2 linked regions of the Drosophila melanogaster genome follow. The protein of the gene in region 1 interacts with the protein of each later gene in a pairwise test. Each region holds a gene or a part of one and is shown on either strand. Other genes may lie near its edges.

The links.
Region 2: the proteins of CG13319 (region 1) and CG11885 interact in a two-hybrid assay, tested with the Drosophila melanogaster proteins (2 studies listed by BioGRID).

What each region holds. Positions count from the first base shown.
Region 1 is NT_033778.4:12,919,185-12,927,270, reverse strand, and holds CG13319 (uncharacterized protein), read right to left. Parts: upstream 3,368-8,086; 5' UTR 3,323-3,367; coding exon 2,924-3,322; 3' UTR 2,920-2,923; intron 2,850-2,919; 3' UTR 2,607-2,849; downstream 1-2,606. Other genes in the region: NAT1, read right to left, coding at 4,214-4,392, 4,461-6,286, 6,412-7,163.
Region 2 is NT_033779.5:417,579-423,019, forward strand, and holds CG11885 (uncharacterized protein), read right to left. Parts: upstream 3,873-5,441; 5' UTR 3,789-3,872; coding exon 3,363-3,788; 3' UTR 3,317-3,362; downstream 1-3,316. Other genes in the region: ebi, read left to right, coding at 1-56; CG13690 (uncharacterized protein), read right to left, coding at 979-2,022; RpLP1 (ribosomal protein LP1), read left to right, coding at 2,497-2,568, 2,714-2,980; CG13692 (uncharacterized protein), read left to right, coding at 4,222-4,610, 4,665-4,857.

The sequences.
Region 1 (8,086 bases):
CCAGCGCCAATCGACCAATCCCCACAACGTAATCCGTCCCTGTGCACGGGCCAACGAGTGGGGTCCCTGGCTTACGTAAAGAGACAACCTGACATCAGGGACTTTGATAAGCCCTTGCCCTCTATCAGCAGTGCGACAGGTGGAGGCGAACGTGGTTGTGGTCGTGGAAGCGGACTCATTGCCAATTGCACATCGCAGTACCCATTCCCATTCCCATTCCCATCCCCGTACCCGTACCCATTCCACTCCAGTCCAGTTCCCCCACCAGATGGCGAATCATGATTTATAAATAGATAGGGGGCATAATCGGACCACAACTGCTCCGCCGGACAATCGAGCCGAGGTACAGTCGCGCATGGCGAGGTCAGTTCAGCGGAATCTTCCAAAAGCACGGCCTTGGGTCCGTATCGCCTCCCCAAATCGAAGACAGGCGATGAAGGACCCCAGGCGCAACCTAATTTTTATGTTTTTTGCCGCTTGCCGGCAATTAAAGCCGCGCAGAAAATGAGTAAAAAAAATCCGGATTTTCTGACTGGCTGTGTGAACTTTGTATGGCGCGAGCTCCCGTTGGGGAGCTGAGCGTGTGCGCTTATTAATTTTCCGTGGTCCGAATCTCGGCGTAAATAATAACAAATCGGCACCAAACTAGGCGTATAGACACTCGGCGGCGATCCGGATCGAACCGGAATGGCAGGGTGCAGTCCGTCGGGCGCAATGATGTTCAATATTTCTATCAAATTAACAACACTCGACCGATAACCGGAGGGGTCTGGATGGCTGGCAAAGGTGGTCTGGTGGTCCGATAAGCCCTCGCAGCAGATTCGGATTGGGATCTCCGATTCGATTCTATTCGATCCGAACCGTTTCGTTCCGTTCCGCGCTCCAGCTTGACCGGTGGGCGTGCGCCTGAACCTAGGGGTTTATCAGCCAAGATGCACATTTGCAGCAGCAGCAGCAGCAGCAGAAATAGCAGCAGCAGCCGCCGCGGAGAAGGTTCCACGCGTAGTCCAGCCGGCTTATCGCTGCAGTGGGAACCCACTGGGGGCGCTGATATGACTATGGTAGTCCCGCAGAAGGCTAATTACTTTGTTGCCGCCAACGATAGACTTCCAAAGTCCATGTACCGCCAGCCGGGCCAGCCAGTCATCCAAGCCAGGGACATGCAACCGAGGCATGGAAGCCACAACTACTCGCACTCACATTCCGACCCGATAATTACAGATGGCTGCTCGAATTCGGCCGACTCGGATCTATTATTTATAGGGCGCTTATCGCCAGACAGCTTTTGATATGGCCAAAAAGGAAAAGTTATTAGGCAACTGGGGAAACCAAAAGCAGAAAAAAAAAAACGGGGGAAAAAAACATTCCAGACATTCGTGGGAGCCCACAGACCCCGGAGCGCAGACCTTCCGGCTGAAGCTCTATTTTTATACCCGTTCAATGGGTGCTGCTATTTTTTTTTTGGAGCGATATGCTCTTGTCGCTGTTACCACCACTGATACGCCTGACAATATCTCGTCTAGACTGGGCATTATTATGAGAGGCGAAATTTGTTTTTTTCGTACATTAGTGTTTTTCATTTTGTTGCTGCTCCCTCCCTCCCATTGGGTTGTTTAGCGGAAAAGTTTCAATGGCACCTCCAGGCGGTGTGATCCAACACAACCATAGCACAACGCTGCTGGGGGCTGTTCCATTAAAAATATGACTGGCATTCTTGGCGGGGGTAATTCAGACGTCTTATCAACCGATTTATATTTACGATTGGCGGGCAGGAAGTATAGCCAACTTTCAGTCTGAGAATGCCGATAGATAAAGGGCATTATGAAGGTGTCGCGTTGGTCCTTCAACTATCTATACCTGAGTATCAAACTGTTCAAGTTGCAGACTTTCTGTGACATAGAACCATTCTGAAATAGTGAATAGTGACTTGGATATTTTGGATATCGCAATCATTATAATTGGGAACTCATGCAGGAAGTGACATCAACTTTTTGCTCGTGGGTAATTAGTAAAGTTGAGAGTTCCTATAGTCAGTCATCACCAATATCATTTTTTCAAAAGCTAAACGAACTGTAACAAGAGATATAATATTTTCAACCAGTATTATTCACACAAATTTAGAAGCTTGTTAATCACATTGTGAATTGTAAACCCGCTAGTTAATACATACATTTGATAGTGGTATCCTACTAACTTTTCGAATAGTTCAAATTAACAACATAAAAACAAATCTAATGATATTATTTGTCAGAGGTATTCAGTGATCAAACTGAAATGGTACCCATTTGGAAAACTTCCGAATGATTATTACATATTAACTTCTCCCTAAACCTAAACATTCATTCGAAAGGGAAACCGAAACGGAGGCCTGATGAACAAACCGGCGCAATGCGAACACACACATATGTATATTCGAATTTAATACGATGGCGGGGAAATCACCTATCAAGCGATCATCACTGCAGCCAAACTGACCTTCAAATCATTGGGTGGTGAAGCAGCAGCATGAATAGCATGCGGGTGGCACGCGATCACTCACACAGCGGGTGACTTCTTCTTACATTGAGCACTGCTATCGCGACACAATTGATAAAGCCCACATGCGTCTGTAAACTTACTTAGGGCAATAAATTTATTGTACAAAATTCGTATCACCGATACACGTTTAAAGTTCGTGCTCACTCGGCCGCCGCATGACGTCTGAGCGGAGATCGGGAATCGGAGATCCCAGATAGTTAGCTGATGGAGTGCGTAGAGTACGTGAAGCTGCGTCCGTGGGGTAGCCGCCGGTCCCCGAAATAGACGTTGACCCCCACGCGGCGCCGTGTCATCGGTAGCGCAGGCGGGCCCTGTGTGCACGTGAACCAGAAATAAGTCAGCGATTGAGGATTAAATTTATGCCACACTAAGTTGTTGTACCCACTCAAGCGAAGTGCTCCAGATGGTCTTGCATGTAGGTGACTAGCGTCTTCTCGAACAGAGGGCCCATTAATCGATCCAGTTTGAGATTAAGGCTCACGTAGAACTGGCGGCAGTAGCGTTTACTCAATTTGGCGGCCAGAACAGATGAGTCGGTCTGCCCGTGTCCGCCCAGGATTGTGGAGGATAGGGACTGGCTGCTGGCGGGATTGCGAGAGGGCATGGCCACCGCTAGCTCCTCGAAAACCTCCAATCCCTTGGGGTTTATGATCAGCATGGTGCTGCCTTGCATTTTCAGGGCGCGCACGGTGAATTGCGAGGGACCCGCCGCCAAGTGGACGCAATGTGAGGTGAAACCACCAGACTCCTTCGCAGGCACAACATTCGCAGGAACGCTATCCATTAGTCGTGAATTTTATACATAAACAAGCAATATTCACAAGGAAAACAATGAAATAGCAAGTTTGACCGGAGCGGTGTTGCCAGATAACGAAACGACCATAGATAGCTTTTCAAAATAATCGAAAATTGTATCGATAGGCAGCTATTACAGAGCTTAGGCGCGGATTTTAAATTTGCATTACTCCCTCAAAAGCCAATGAAAGTCAGTTTGATTTCGCCGTTCGCAGTGTTGGTTGCATTTATTAAGGCTCTATTTAATGTGGGCGAGTTTTTTAATGTTTACGTTGGTTGAGTTAAATACATATATACGATATTTTGTTCACAATTACATTCAGATTTTGTTTTGCTCTCTTCGGCGCGCGTCGATTGGTTTTTCCTTTTCTATAATGTTAATGTTGTCGCTTTGATTTGACCTACTTATTTAAATACACAAAAGGGAAATCGTCGAGAGTACCAAAAAAAGGCAATTGAAATCAACGTTATTCGATTTAAAGATCAGTTCCGGTTGTTATGTTAAAAAAAAAAGATGAAATTCACTAATTATTCGTTATGCTTGAAATGTCAATGAGAATTATGATGTATGGATAAATATCGGTTATATTTGACGTCTATTGCGCTTTATTTATTGATAATTGATTGTTAATGTTCTTTGAATTTGTTGGATATCAAATAATTTTGATTAATTTTTTTTGTTTTGTTTTTCTTTTTTACTATAATTTGACTAAGTTTTGCAACCGCGATTTCAAACTTCCACCCTGATGGTATTTTGTTTCTTATTTTTCGTGTTTTGTTAGTTTTGTTGTTTTTCATCATGTAATCATTATCGATTTGTGAATAAATATTGGAAGTGATAAACATATAGCGCTGTTATTATGCGGGACTGCGTTGCTTTCTAATCCTCATCGTCCTCAGATTCGGCCTCCTGCAGCCAAGTCAACCAGGCGTTCACTTGGAACAAAGCGGATCCTTTGCCTGGATATTTGTCGGAAATCTCCTCCTTCCACAGGACGAATGCCTCCTCCTCTATAATTTCAGATTCGTAAAGATACTTGAACCAACGGCACAGCATGCCTAACGAAGAAAAAAGCAAATATAAGTTGCCGATAAAACAGATTAGATTTAAAATGTTGAGCACTTACCCTTGGGGAAATTTTCATTGTAGCAGAACGTTTGCAGAGCATAGAGAGCCATCAACTGAAGCTCGTTCTGTCCCAGGAAGGTCTGCAGCATCTGGCTGTAGTTCTCCAGCAGCTGTTGCTCCTTCTGGGTCACCGATTTCTCAGGGTGCTCCTTGGGGTCGAGGTTGTCCGCCAGCGTCGTCTCCTTGGTCACATACTTGACCACCACGGTCATTAGGGCTTGGATAAAGCCCGGGTCCTTGTAGTATTTGTTGTCAACGTTGGCCTTGATCCACTTGTAGAAGTTGTTGGGGTTCGGGTCGCTTTGCAGCTGTTTTAGCATCTCGGCCTGTACCTTCAATAGCGGATAAAGGAAAGAAAGCTTGCGATCCTCGAGTATCCCGGCCAAGCGCTCCTTGTTCCGATCCGCCTCCGGCAGGCTGTTCATAAGATCAACTTTGCTCGCCCGGAATTTCTCTTCCAGCGCATCCTTGCCGATGACCTTGACCAGTTGCTGCAGCACGAGCAGGAACAGCGGATAGTGTTGGCCATTGTCCGTGAAGTTGGCGATATCGCTTAACTTCAGCAATGCTGGCTCGCAAATTGTCTTTGCCAGCAAGCTGGCTACAAGACTAACGATTCGGGGATTGAGTGCCTCTCGCTCGTTCATCTTGTTGACCACCTGCTTGAAAATCTCGACCACGATGTTCGGCTTGATATTGGATTGCTTGCGCAATGTCTGCAGAAGGCGCACAGCACGCTCCAAGAAGACATCGTTTACACGGTCCAAGACCTCCATCAGCAGATTGATGCACACATCCTTCAGCGCCTTCTCTGGCAGCTTAAGCTCGAGGAAACCATCTACAAGCTTGGTGAAGCGATCTGGAGTGGTCACAGGTATTGCAGCATCTTCCTTTACCTCCGAGACTTCAACTGGAGCAGCGTCGGCCTCCTCCGTCTTTGTCTCATCAATATCCTTGATCTCAATTTCCGTCACCTCTGCATCCTCCTCCTCATCGTAGTAGAACCTATCCTTGAAGTACTGACTGGCCTTCTTAGACAGCTCCTCCTTGTTGGGACCCTTATCTTTCTTTTGTTGCTTGGCCGAGCCAATACCGCCGGCCGGAGTGCTTGGTCTCTCCACGGAGCCATTCTTGCCCTGATCTTTGCCGTCGTGCGATCCCTTTCTGCCCGCCTGACCGTCTAAATCCAACTTCTCCGCTCCTGATGAAAAGTTCGGCGAAGAAGAGGTGGCCTTCAATCCCCTCTCCTGTTGAACTCCCAAAAGAGTTCGGTTATCAGCATACTCAGCAGATGGTGTTGACGAGGGACGCGTTGGATTGATCAGATGGGATGTGGGCGTGCCGAGCATAGGGTAGTGGGAGTTCGAGAGCTGGCCCTGCGAGCTGCCCTGGTTGTTGCTGCCGCTGCTATTGGGCGGTGTTGACATGGGCAACGTAGCCGGAAACTTTTGGTTCTGGGAGGCCGCTCGGAAGAGCAAGGAGTTGGCTGCCGGGCGCATTTGCAAGTTCTCCACCGCATCCTGGTTCGTGGTGATCAAGTTGCGTTTGAACCTCGGTGCCAATTCCTTACTACCCAGCAGCTGATTGCCCCCATACTGTCCGTCATTGCGATCCCTGTCACGATCGTTATTCCTACGCGAATCATCCCGGTCCCGGTTGTTGGAGGATCCTCCGCCACTGCCTCCTCCATTCTGGTTGTGCTTGTTGTAGCGATTGCCATAGTTAGCTCCGCCGCTACCGCCCTGATCGCGATCCCTGTTGCGATCGCCTCGATTGTTGTACTGGCGATTGTCGCGGTCTCGGTCACGATTGCTCGTAGCGAACCTGAAATTGTTTAAAATTAGGTTTTGTACTTTCAAAGAATTTAATATAATGTGACTACTATTCAAACTATACACCCGACCAGACAAAAGTGTGTTCATTACTCCCATGACGTTCACAATACTTACGGCGAGACAATCGGAGAAGCTCCCGTAACACTCAGTCCGCTAAACATGTCATTATAGCCGCCAGGCTGGATATTCAGATGGAAACGATTCATCCAGCTGTCCGAGTCACGATCATTGTTGCGCATATCACGATTGCGATTGGGGAACGGAGTGCGTATGATTGAGTCGTCATCCGAGCGTATTTGCTTTATGGGGACGGGGCCTTCGGTGGTGCCCAATTTGCGCGGCACCCAATTGTTCTGGCGCAATTCAATTACGTCCTTTAGCATAAAACGTATCCGCGGTGGATATTCAGATGATTTTGACCGACGTTCAAGCTTCTCGAAGTACTGGTTCATCAGCTCTTTGCCCTGTTCTGAATCCAGATTCTTGCCGCAAGTCTTGAGCAGTTGAGCCAGGCATTCCATGTCCTCGCACATTTCCTGCGTACCGGCCGTACGCTTCTTCTTCTTGTCAAATAGCTCCATGATGCACTGATGCAGCACGTTCTTCGACAGCATGTCCAGCTTGTTGAGCTCTCCGATGAATTTGACGTTGCCGAGCATGCGCTGTTTGGCCAAATGGCGGCGCTCCTCCTCGTCGGCCTCATTTTCAGGCGGAGGTCTGTTGTCGTTCTCGTCGCGCTTGAGTCGGTTGTTGAACTTGTCGCGGCAGACCGCGATCAGCAGGCGTAAGAAGGTGGACGAATTGCTTGGTTCCTTGTCGAATGACGGGGCTTCCTCGGAAAGTCGCTTGCACAGCTGCGCATACATAGACGAGTACTTCGGCTCGTCTAAGGCCTTGTCGAATATCAGCAAAATCACGCCTTTCAAAATAGCAATAGAGTTAAGATCCAGCTTCAACAGTTCATCGCTCAGTTCCTGGAACTTCTCGGGCGTTAGCTTGTTCAAAATACCCCTCACACGCCGGAAGACGGCGTCGTTCTTTTCGCTTTGGGTGAGTCCATGCTGTGGACGCAACGATGGTGGTATCCAGCGTCCGGTGATCGGTGGCGGTGTGCTTGCCTTGCCAGCCTGTGATCGTTCCTGCTGCTGTTGAGAATGAGGAGTGCCTCCTCCTGCGGCCGACGCTGATCCGGAGTTCAGAGAAATGTTCGAAGAATTGGAAGTGGAGCCAGAGATCTGAGCAGACGCACTGCCGTTGCGAAGATTGGGTGTGCGACTGGACGGGGTTCCGCCGTAACGATCTGCGTCAGACCTGCCGTAGCTGCGGGGTCCTCCGCTCGCTCCTGCCCCTGATCCGCCTCCTCCGTTTCGCTCTAGGCTGTTGGTGTTGTTGTAGCGCTGGTGCGATGGTGAATCCTCGTAGTTGTCGCGGTAGTTGCTGCTGTATCCGCTACTCACGCCTCCATCGTTGCCACCGCGCGAAGCCCCATACGACGACTTGCTGTTGGTTGAGCTTGCTGCAGATCCGTTGTAACCGGATGAAGAGTTGGAATTGCTGCTGTTGCCGTTCCCGTTGCCGCTGCCGTAACGTGGCTGTGTGCCGTTGCTCCCATTGCCGTTCTCGTAGTTGCGGGCGGAGCGATAATTGCTGCCACCGCTTCCAGAGCCGACTGCCCCAGACCCTCCTCCTCCCACGGAGTTTGAGTTTATTGATCGATTGTAGCTGCCATCGGAGTTTGAGTGATAGTTGCTGCGACTACCACGATGCGATCCGCCTTGCTGATCCTGCT
Region 2 (5,441 bases), on another chromosome or scaffold:
TGGGTGCCAGTGCCTCCGACGGTAGCGTTTTCGTGTTGGACCTGCGAAAGTTCTGATTGCCGGAGCAGCCACAACTGGATTTCGTGTATTGAGCCAACGCTTAAAATAGTCAAGATTCCTTTTCCAGCTCATTATTTGGTAAAAATGAAATCGGTAGTTTTTCACTTTCTTACGGAACGAGAAGTTTTTACTTTTGATTCAAAAATTGCATTTAACTATATTTTTTAAAGAAGTGAAATATGATCAGTTACAATTCTACCAACATAAGTCGATTTGGATCTGGAGTCCGGACCTTAGGTAACTCCTTTCTTAGCTATCCCGCCCTGCAATCGTATTTGTAATTGCTTTAAATTCTAATTAGTTCTTTAAGGTATACCTCTTGAGATGAGATCCTCCCGCTTTTGTCCACGTCTATTTCGTACGCTTAGTTTCGAGTCACAAAATATCGATATGCACCTGGGATTTTTGGGGGCTTCAACATGGTTGTTGTTCTCTTCAGATCAGCGGGATGCGACTCGCCTCATTTTAATCTTAATCATAAGCTCCATGTTTCTAAGGTCGTCCCTTTTTATACGAAAATCGTTTAGTATAACTTTGCATTTTGTTATTGTATCGATCAAAGATGCCAGCCAACTCCCCGCCCTCCCCACCAAAAGTCCTTTACCCAATTCCACAGTTGTCCTCCAAAAAAGGGATGCCAAGAGATCAGATCAGACCGATTCACGCATACATTCAGAACAGTGTAACTGCAGTCCCACGTAGTCAGTAATCGAACGTAATTATTAAGAACACGAGATTGGCGGAAACACAAGAACATCAGCAAAAATACATTAAAGATAAAAATTAATCTGTTTTCGTTTTGGGCCTGGGTGTTTTTTGTATTTTAGCATTTTAAAATTTAATACTAAAGTACTTAAATTAAACTTTATTCTTTGTAAATATAGATACTCCTGAACTTAATTTTATTTTCATTTGTTGCTAAAACTCCATGACACTTTCCAGATGGCGTTGCTTAAAGAAGCGGCACTCCTCGCGAATTATTTCGCCGGATTTTGTTGTGCCCTTAAAGAACTTTGTGAGCTTGGTGCCGGCGTACTTGGGCTTCTCGGAATCCGGCTCGTCGAACTCCATGTCATAGGCCTTGTCCGCCAGTGCGTTTTCCGCGGTGGACCAACTGAAGCGCACAAGTCGTGGAAATCCAAACACTAGATCGATGTACTCGGTCAGAAATCTTCTTGTGACCGGATCTCCCGGATATCCACTGCCGAACTCGTTGTCCTTAATGACCAAGCCCTCGGGGAAGCTCCACACCTTGAGGGCATGATCACGGGTAACTTTGGCGCATATACTAGCAGCAGAGACTATTGGATAGGTGGAGTCAGCTTTTTTCGCCACGGTGATTTTAAAGCTGGGGAAACGTTTGAGCAACTTCTCCTGGTACTTCTCCGGCGGACCCACCGTATCCACATAAACCTCGGCTATATTGACGCCCGCATCGATCGCCTGTTGGATAAGGCCCATGGCCGAGTCCATGGAAACTTCGTTCAGGGAGCACTTCGACCGCCGGTACATGCTGGTGCTGATCGTGTTCGGCGATATGATCTCCACGGCCCAGCCAACGCAACTGGTCGCATATTCCTTGGTGTTGATATCGTTAAATATGATATCACGTTTCCCCTCGGTTAGTTGTTTGGAATCGGCGCATCCCAGGTCCTCTAAAGCCTTGTTACTTTCCAGTGGACAGTAGGAGATCCCATATACCATAGGTCCCAGGACGGGACCACGCCCTGCTTCGTCCACGCCCAGCATGCACGGCTTATCCTTGCAAATATCCGGAACATCGCTGAGGTAAACCGTGTTGCGGCTATTCTCCTTGCCGGCTATAAATGGACCCAGGGCCTTCAAGGAGCTTATTTTTCCGCTGTCCTTAAAATCTACATCATCGGGCTCTTCGTCGTTCTCATCAATATTTTCTATACATTTTTTTTCTTTTTTTACAACTACGTCTTCTTGGTCCGACATTTTCGCGCGCTTTTTTTTTGTTTACGTTTAAACGACGCTATGGGCACACTAATTGTATACATAAAGTTGCAGTGTGACTCATTCGTCATTATACCAAAATATCTTTTTTTTAATATTCTCAATAACCGTACGGAAAGGTCTTTTATTAAAATAGAGAGATAAACATATAACCAGAGAATTATGCTAAGGCTTCTGTCCAAGATGCTTAAAAATAAACTAGTTTAAATAAGAGATAATCTCGGCAGTTTGAACGAGTTTTCCTCTACCTAGTATTTCCTGACAATAATATGCAAATTTTCATAGACGGTTGGTATTTTTCTTCGTCATCGGCGCGGTCACACTGCATATCAACTGCTCTTTCCGGTTTAGGATTTTGACCAGCGTGCTTGTTCTCGTCCCGAGCTAAGGCCATTTGTTATAAACAATTAATTTTTGGCAACTTGCACAATCAGTGATTAGCCACAGCACTTCGACATGTCCACCAAAGCCGAGCTCGCCTGCGTCTACGCCTCCCTCATCCTCGTCGATGACGATGTCGCCGTCACCGTAAGTTTTTCGATATTGCAATCGGGGACGAAGCAAATCCTCCAAAGCCGCGGCCATCGGCCGGAAGTATTGGACAATTTGCGGGTCCTATGGTTTCTTTCGCACTGCTGCAACTTGTGCTGATCTTATTTTTTGGATTCACCAGGGTGAGAAGATCAACACCATCCTGAAGGCCGCCAACGTCGAGGTGGAGCCCTACTGGCCCGGTCTCTTCGCCAAGGCCCTGGAGGGCATCAACGTCAAGGACCTGATCACCAACATCGGATCCGGAGTTGGTGCCGCTCCCGCCGGTGGTGCTGCCCCTGCTGCCGCCGCCGCTGCTCCAGCCGCCGAGTCCAAGAAGGAGGAGAAGAAGAAGGAGGAGGAGTCCGACCAGTCTGACGACGACATGGGCTTCGGTCTGTTCGACTAAATCCTCTAGAGAACTTCTCGACAACCGGACATCCGTTGTGTTTGTGCTGTAATCCTCGAGAGGTGGACGTGTACCCGTTTCCCGACCTGCGTACACGTTTTTAATGTACAAATGTGAGGAAATATAGAAGACGTTTGCTAAAAAATTATCGAGACTCATTCCTTTCACAACGGTGCAGAATTATTATGGTTTACTATGTTATTGGTCATTCCACTGCCTTTTTGTGAGTAGATTCTATTTTGGGTTTTTAAGCACATGAAAGAGGTTGCAGTAGAATGGCCAATAATTTGGTCAGCCGGGTTGAAGGCTACGATTAAAATGTTCAAGGTTTTTTTTACAAAAACTGTCACAGCTAATATTTATTGGATATAACGAACGCAGACTAGAATAACGTCTCCTCGAGGACCTTAGCTAGGGCACGAAGATTGGGTCCGTCGATTTTCTTGAGACCCAAGCCCACCACGAACTCCGTCGGGCACTTGTGGAGTCCGGTTCTGTTGACCAGAAACTGTATGGCGCTGCGAGTCTCGTCGGTGTCCAAGCCCAAGCAGCAGTTCATCGTGATTGGCACCGATACGTGGAACTCCGGATTGTCCACGGGTCCGTGCAAATAGGGAACCACTCTTTCGTCCTTTTTGACATCGAAGTGCACGTTGTAGATGCCGGGAATCTTGCCGAGCTGCGTTATGACTAAGAACCACTTCTTGGCAAAGCAGTGGAACACTATCTCCGTGGGAACGCCGTTCACGTCCGCTGAGAACTGCCTGTCGAATCCGATTTGTCGAGGTTTGTTTGCTGTGTGGTTCATTTTTTGAGAGAATTTAAAAGCGTTTAACAATGTTGATATTGTTTACGATGAGACAGCATGAAAAAACGATGAAAAATACATCGATGTTTTATCGATAGTCATTATGCATTGATGTGCTAATATGAAGTGTGGCCGAATGGTTCCGAGTTTCGTGACTCCCGAAGCACGCAGTTCAAACGTTTGCACTGATTTCCTGAGAGCGCCATCATGCAGAAAATAATTGAACTACTGACACAAGATTTCGATTACGCGATTGATATTAAATGTTCAACCATTTGTAAATATTTTATATATAAAATAAGCCAGAAATAACAACATGTACGTGCTTACTGAACTAACTTTTACAATTTTAATTTAATTAATTAATTAATAAACTTTGGTAACCAAGGCTACCTTTGTTAGATCCATAAATAAAATCCAAGTAAAAGCAAAAATGTCCACCTGCATTTGCTTGGGCCCCAAAAGAGCGGGCAAAACGCACCTTTTGAAAGCTTTACAGGATCCGGAATCCATCGATGAGACCACGTTTTCCATGCCCACCATTGGCACTGGGATTTACCGAATCCATTTCCCAACAAAATCGCCAAATGGGGATAAAAATAAGCCTCCTCCCTCAGAAGCTCCAGCTAACATTCCTCATGGCGGTAAAAATCTGCCCAAGTCCATACAGATCCTGGAAATTGGAGGGAGTATGGCCCCCTTGTGGAGGCAGTATTTCGAGGATGTCAAGAAGCTGATCTACGTCGTGGACACCTCTAATCTCTGTCAGATTTCAGCCGCCGGCGTTCTTTTCTATTCAATCCTCACCGAGCCGCGTCTGCAGTAAGTAAGGTGGAAATGAACTGAAAGCTCATGCACTAGTTAAATTCGTCGCAGGCATAATACTAAGATCCTGTTGGTACTGGCCAAAATGGATTACTCCTACCGCCAGATGCGAAACGAGGCTCTGCTCATGCTGCAGATGCAGAAGTTGCAAAAACAGATCCGCCAGCAGGTGACCATCGTGGAGGCCAGCGCCGTCACCAAAGTGGGCTTAGACCCCATCTACGATTGGCTGCAGAGACCCTAAATAATAAAATATCATAGAAATTAGTGTGTCACTCACATTAATGATACACCAGTGAAAATATTAAACTCTATTCCGATGCATTTTTATGTGGCTTTAGTTAATAAAATTAAACGTGAACACTGCCTAATCTATCAGATAGAAGTTAATATCTAGATTAAGACCTAAACTTCCCAAAAAGCAGAAAGCAGAGGAGATGCAGATGCATCCCGGAAGACAAACCAAGAAACAAGTTGGTTATATTAAGCTCAAATTAACATTAAAAATTTAGGTAGATTTACAGAGAGGTATAGTCAGGGTGTCCCAACAGGGTGACTCCCCAGGGACCGGAACAGGCGCACTGCAAAGTAATTAATGTTTTGGCCGACCAGGTATCCATGGTAATCGCCTCGTACCCCGAACCTAACCAATTCAAACTATACCGGAAGACCCTTTCCATATGGCGAGTATACACCTATACCTGCTAGAGGCCAGTCAGTCGATACCAGCAACCGCAGCAGCGGAGGAATCTACAAATTAGGTCCCGTGCAAAAGAGGTAGGCGGGAAGTACAAATTATGGGCATAGAAAAATTAGATGGCATGGAGA